Linked DNA regions of Callithrix jacchus. The protein of the gene in region 2 interacts with the protein of the main gene of each other region in a pairwise test. Links are inferred from orthologs where the notes say so. Each region holds a gene or a part of one and is shown on either strand. Other genes may lie near its edges.

The links. The genes of interacting proteins can lie anywhere in the genome.
Region 1: the proteins of CLEC7A (region 2) and BNIP3L interact in binary tests that used the Homo sapiens proteins (3 or more experiments, as listed by UniProt). The two-hybrid records come from large-scale screens. The link is inferred for Callithrix jacchus from reciprocal best matches to the Homo sapiens genes CLEC7A and BNIP3L.

The regions. Positions count from the first base shown.
Region 1 is NC_133514.1:15,168,932-15,172,588, reverse strand, and holds part of BNIP3L (BCL2/adenovirus E1B 19 kDa protein-interacting protein 3-like), read left to right. Parts: intron 1-1,022; exon of another isoform or gene 1,023-1,088; intron 1,089-1,831; coding exon 1,832-2,015; intron 2,016-3,657.
Region 2 is NC_133510.1:12,875,800-12,879,078, reverse strand, and holds the end of CLEC7A (C-type lectin domain family 7 member A), read right to left. Parts: intron 1,843-3,279; coding exon 1,710-1,842; 3' UTR 539-1,709; downstream 1-538.

The DNA.
Region 1 (3,657 bases), on a different chromosome or scaffold from region 2:
CTGAGGTCACACAGGTAGACAGGAAGCAATGGGTTCAGATTCCCAGCCAGGTCTGCCTGCGAGCTTTCCTTCTTGTGAGGGCGATGTTGAGTTCATTCGGGATCTGGTGTAGCCATCACCACATTTAGCGTGCGTTTTGGAGTTTGAGCCAGTTTTGATGATTGCTTCATCTTACTGACAGAAATCCTTATTTATCCCTGGAACTCTTTCTAATGCTTCTGCTGGGAGTTTAGAGAGGTGGCCCCACCAAGCTGCTTGGTTACATTTTCTAAAACAAAATTTATCATAAGCAATGGAGGCTGGGCACGGTGGCTCACGCCTGTAATCCCAGCATTTTGGGAAGCCAAGGTGAGCAGAACATGAGGTCAGGAGTTCAAGATCAGCCTGGTCAACATGGTGAAAGCCCATCTCTACTAAAAATACAAAAATTAGCTAGACATCGTGGTGCATGCCTGTCATCCCAGCTACTTGTGGGGCTGAGGTCAGGAGAATTGCTTGAACGAAGACTCAGAGGCAGAGATTGCAGTGAGCGGAGATCGCACCACTGCACTCTAGCCTGGGCTACAGAGCCAGACTCCGTCTCAAAAAAAAAAAAAAAAAAGGAAAAGATTAACAAAATATACCACTATCTCTTTTTGCTGTGAAGTTACTTTATTGGCTACTGTTAACAATTATTTCAATTCTTTTACTTATTTTCTTACTGTTCTTTTGTAGAGACAAGGTCTTGCCATGTTGCCAAGGCTGGTGTAAAACTCCCGCACTTGAGCAATCCTGGTGCCTTAGCCTCCCAGAGTGCTGGGATTACCTGTGTGAACCACTGTCCCTGGCCTCAACTCTTATTAAAATTAAAACACCTTAATACTTTTAGCAGACTTACTGGGCCAATATTTTCAAGACCTATGCAGAATTACCAGTGCCACATCCCCTTTTTCTGTGGCTCCACCCCTTCAACTTTTTGCCCAAGAAAACATTCGTGTTTGCGTGTAGCTAATGTGCAGTTGTTTCTGCCCCCAAATCAACAGGGCTTAACGAAAACTCTAGAAAGTAGGAACTCGTGGGAGAGAAGAGAAAAAAGACAAGTTCACAAGGTATGTTTAGTGTATAAAAAAGGAGAAAGACTTCTAGCAGTGATATAAAGGAAATGAAGAAACGAATCAGTGAGATAGAGCTAAAGCTTTTTTCTGAATTTTTCGCATTATCACCTGGTTTTGTTAACCAGCTGCCTTAATTTTATGCTCCTGATTTGTGCACAAATTGAAATGTTTGCTACTGGATTTAAGTTCCCTCTCTAGGAGTTTCTCCGTTGTTTGCACTAAGGAGGATATAGTTGCTAACTTACTTAGATAACCTTTTATGAAATTTCTAATTGATAATACTTACTGTTTCATTTACGAATCAGATAAAGCTGAGTAGCTTAGGTAGACTATGAAGAAAGTGTCTCTCTGTGCGTATATCTATACACCAGCTGAAATATTAAAGGTAAGTAGCCTGTCTAGTAAAAAAGTAGCTATTTTTTTTTTAAAAGCAACCTCAGAGTTTTCAGTAAAGTGTTATTATAAACTAAGGTTTAACAAAAGAGAAAATTGGCTGAAAAACACATTTTCCAAGATGTTTTAGAGTTCCCGTTTCTTCTCAGCTGATGGCATGAGCTATTTCAGGAACAGAACTTAATAGATGTTTAGACTTTTATTACTCTTTCTTTTCTTCAGAATACTTTTGCATTTCGTTTGAGGAGAGTCAGAATTCTTATCTGGATTCACCATATTCACATCTGTGTGCACATGACAGATTTCAGTTCTGCTGTGGTTAACTTATCTGACTTGTCCAACAGGTTCCTGGGTGGAGCTACCCATGAATAGCAGCAATGGCAATGATAATGGCAATGGGAAAAATGGGGGGCTAGAACATGTGCCTTCCTCATCCTCCATTCACAATGGAGACATGGAGAAGATTCTTTTGGATGCACAACATGAATCAGGACAGAGTAGTTCAAGAGGCAGCTCTCACTGTGACAGGTAAGTGAGATCCGTGTTTTGGTGGAATTCAGGACACGGGTGGGTTACAGGGCTCATTATCTCTAGGAAAAATTTATTTGCTTAAATCTTCACTTAGCAAAAATGCCTCCTGATATATTGCAGTGTAATATATATTCCACAGATACATAGATTGTGTTTATATCAGACAGCTAATTGACAGGTGTTCCAGTGCCCCCTGTTTTCTCCAGATTGTCACTTTTTTTAATCAGATTACATTATTTTTAGCAGTTTATCAGTTTAAAATTCAGTGGCATAAATGCTACTTCATAGAATTAATCTTTCTCCCATTTTCCTTTGAGTCCCTCTTTTACAGATCACAGACTGCCTTGAATTAGTTACCTCTGTGTATATCTGTCTTCCCTTCTAGATCTTGAGGCTTCAAAGGGCAGGGACCATGTTTCATCTTTATTAGCTTCACGGTAATGGTGCTGGCACATAATAGACACTAAGTAAATGTTTGACCCATAGGAACTGCAGGTTGATTCACATTATAGCAATATTTGCACAGTTGGAAGCGCCAGCCAAGGTCTGTAAAGGTAGTTTTGAAGGCCCTTCTCCTTTCTCAGAGATGTTTTGTTTCAGACCGTTTTTCTGTATTTGACCCGAGGAAGCTCATTCCATGGATTAAAGACTGCTTATAGTGAAAGAGTAAGATTACAGTGAGATATATGTGTTGGAATGAAACCAGGTTATTATTTTTTAGTGTAAGCTTTTCTTTTTTTCCAGAGGGGCTGAATATTCAGTGACATTTACAAAATTCTTGTTTCAATGACAGCTACACTGTTAGCATTATAGGGCACCGGCTGACCTTCTGAGTAGCTGTTAGCTGATGTTAACCATACAGCAAACGCACAGGAAGCAGATTAAGGAAATGCTGAGGAATGTAAACAGTGCTTATCTTTAGGGATGCAGGATGGATATTTTTCTTCTTAACATTTTTGTATTTGGTAAAAATTGTGTATATTGCACATATTATTACTTACCAGAAGAAGCGAAAAGGAGAAATCAGTTAAATTATATTCCAGCTTCCCGAGGGACTTATGATCCACTAATGTTGCCAAGGCAGCCGGGGGACTGGTTTGCTGGCTCTGTGGCACACTATGCACCCCCGCCACCCCCGTGTCATCCCTGACTTGTCCCTGTGCTTCTTAGAGCCTGGGATGGCTCTTGTCATAAGCAGAACACAGCAGATGGCTCTCTTCTGAACAGCTTGCCCTTGATTCCAGTAGCTACAGCATTAAGTCTGTCTTTCCGAATGAAGATACATGTTTATATTATGGAACTTGCCGATGGGTGTCTGAAGTTTTCTGCTTGTTAATGGCCTGTCAGCAAGGCTTTCACTCTGCATTCCAGTGCATGGGCCTTGATCATTGACACCACGGTGTCCATTAGCCTGTTGTTAACATGGTGGTGTCATCGAGCAAAGAAAAGTCACCTGCTTACCTGTCTGTTCATCCTGTTACATGTGATTGAATATGACTTCACCCTCCCATGATCGTGTTTAAGTTGTGAAAGCATGTGAAAAGGAGGCATGGCAAGTGCTTTTGAACACTTCCTACCCCTCATCTTATGTATCTCCGGGCCCTAGATTAGTGGTTGTCTTTCAGAGAATGCCTAGAAC
Region 2 (3,279 bases):
ACTGTTGTGTACACCCATGTACACCAAAGCTGTCTGTTCTTTTAGAGACTATATTCTATGGAGAAAGGCAGATATATACAAGAAAGATAGTATGAAGCTGGTGCAAAAGTTATTGTGGTTTTTGACATTGAAAGTTTTTTCTTATGTCATTTTTTCCCTTTCTTTTTCTTATGTTTATTATATAGTACAACTATTTTTTTTATTTTACTTTAAGTTCTGAGATATACATGCAGAATGTGCAGGTTTGTTACATGGGTATACGTGTGCCATGCTGGCTTGCTGCACCTATCTGTCTCATCCCTTTCTACATATTTTTAAATAATGACAATATAAATTTGCATATTAAACAGTAGTAAACCTCACAAAAATCTTCATCTTCTCTTAGATTTAAAAAATTTTTAAGAACTCTAATTAATGCTTTAATATCAAAATATCTACTATAAATATTCCCTCCACCCACACCAAATTCATTTTTTGGGGAGAAGGCAAATCGTGATAGTGATTGTGACACATGGGCACATAATTTAGAGGCTAGGGGTTTTTTGATAAGAGTTTTCTTTTTTTATTGAGATGAAATCCACATAACATAAAATCAGCCATTTTAAAGTGAATAATTTAGTGAAATTTGTACAATTTCTTTTCACATATTAATTGACATTAGAGGGCTGCAAATGCCTCCCCAGTAATATAGAAATATCCACTGGAAATAAAAATAGCACCAGTGGGAAAGTATGAAAAAAAAGAAAAGAGACAAATCAGCACATGAGGAAATATAGTTTCATTCCAATAATACCTTTTTGCAGTAGTTACTGAAAAAAATGATAAAAATTATAAAACAGTACATCAGGAAACTAATAAAGCATGTTTCATATTACAAAATGTTAATGCTTGTTCCAATTAGATTGATTACTTTTTTATATTCATCAACAGACTTTGTGTATTTTTTGGTTGCTAGCGTTTAAAAAGCAGAAAACTTTCCTTTGAGAGCAGTTTCCATACTGCTAGAAGTTAAGGGACAAATTGTGGCAACAAACCATGCACTTCAATGGCATATTTGAGTACAAAAACAACTCTAATAGAGCCGGGAATTAAGATTATCTTATGGTTTATCCCAGGTAAATACCAAGTCAATGGCAAAATGAAACTTCAGGCTTGGGGCAAGGCGTGATGGCTTACATCTGTAATCCCGGCACTTTGGAAGGCCAAGGCAGGCAATCACTTGAGCCCAGGGGTTGGAGACTAGCCTGGTCAACATGGCAAAACCCAGTCTCTACAAAAAATACCAAAAGTTAGCCAGGCATGGTGACATGCACCTGTAGTCCCAGCTACCTCGGGGGAGCTGAGGTGAGGAGATGGCTGCAGTGAACCAAGATCGCGCCATTGCACTCCAGCCTGAGTAACAAAGTGAGATTCTATCAAAAAAAAAAAAAAAAAAAAAAAAGAAAGAAAAGAAAAGAAATTCAAGCTTGACTGCCCTGACTCCATGTCTAGAGATCTACTAACTAGAACAATAATACTGGCCTATGTGTAGGTCAACAAATACAGAAACCACAGCCTCCCCTTTCAATTTCTTGGGTACGATTACAGTTTGCCAAGCTCTCTGAACATTTTCTGCATTTATTTTGACTTCTGCTGTTACTCTTTTCTGTTCTGTTTTCTGTCCTCCTTACTAGCTCACGTATTTCTTCCCTCCTCCTCTACCCTATCCCTTACATTGCAAACTTCTTCTCACAAATACTATATGAGGGCACACTACACAATTGATCATAAATGATTGACACATGAATCCATACACAATTGAGAGATGAGTTTTCTTGGGTAGCTGTGGTTCTGATCTGAAATCTGTTAAAATAGAATACAATGATGTAATTAGAACAAATGTTAAGGAATACTGTCCACATGGCACTCAAATAAATTAGTAAGGATATTGGTGAAAAGAGTTCCGAAGTGTTTATATTATTGGAAAAAGGGGTTTAAATCTAAATTGTTTTTAATCTCAAGTGGTTAAATGAATAGTCTCCATTCTTAAGGCAGAAAAATGACACAATTTTTTTATTCAAGAAATAAGACTAGTTGCATAAACTTAAAAAAGATCCTGGCAAAGAAGAAAAATCATTTAATATTCTATTAAAAGTTCTTTATATATCTTTCAACCTATTACTTAGATGTTTCTTTATCAAATCAAGCAACAGCTCAGTGAAACTATTATTGAATATACTTAGTGAGTAGACCAAGCAGAAGTATTAATGCTGAAAGGAATCAAGAACTAAAAAAAAGAATCATAGATGCCTTTAAATCAGGTCATTTAAAGGAAGGGCAAACAACTCTTGTTTATTTTAATTTATCCTGAAAGCAGAATTATATCACAATACAATGCTTGACAGTTATGGTAATCAACATTGGTAAATGGAAGCACTGTCCTATTCAATTTGGTCTTCAAAATCCTGAAGGAGCAGTGTTAATTAGTCAAGCTCAAAGAGGATCACTGCACCTCAGTGCAAAAGCTATGACTTGGCGCTCTTTGTCTTGGGTATCTATCTCTTCTTCTTGACGCTGAGGTTGGAAGACTGAGAAACCTTTGCTCTAGAGATGACTAAGACTAGGATTAACTACTTAGTTTATACCTCAGGGAGAACGCTGATCAGCATTATTTTTAAAAATTTTTCCTTGACATCTAAGTGTTTTGGGGCTGGATTAAATAAATGCCACCAAGAAAACCACAGAGTACTAACATATCAAACAAAACGTTAACTTGGGCCCACGCTTGTGATTATAGAAAGAGTCCTCTAGCCATATGTTTAAAACAGCAAAAGAAAACTCAAGACAAACAAGTTCTATAAAAAAGTAGAAAATACATTTGGCCGATTGTTTGTTAATACATTCACTGTACTTGGCCTAGTAGAAGTAAAACAGTTAAGTGATTATACTCAGCAGTCGGTACCATTCACACCATTGGGTGAACAGACTCTGTGGTGAGAACAGAGGCAAATGAAAAAACACTTCGAATTAATTCTGCAAAGATTTTAAGATACAGTGTTAAACACCCTATAAAAAGCAATCTGACATAAAAGAAAACTAGTCAACACAAATGAAAAGTAGTAAAAAGAAAGAGAGAGAGAGAGACAGAGACATATATACATATAGGACATTGGAATTACATATAGACAGATATATACAGGACATTCAGACACATGCTAAAACAACTATGGTTAGTGTATTCTAAGAGTTAAAAGACAGTACTGAGAATGCTGGAAGGAAAATGGAAGTATAAGTGTTGAA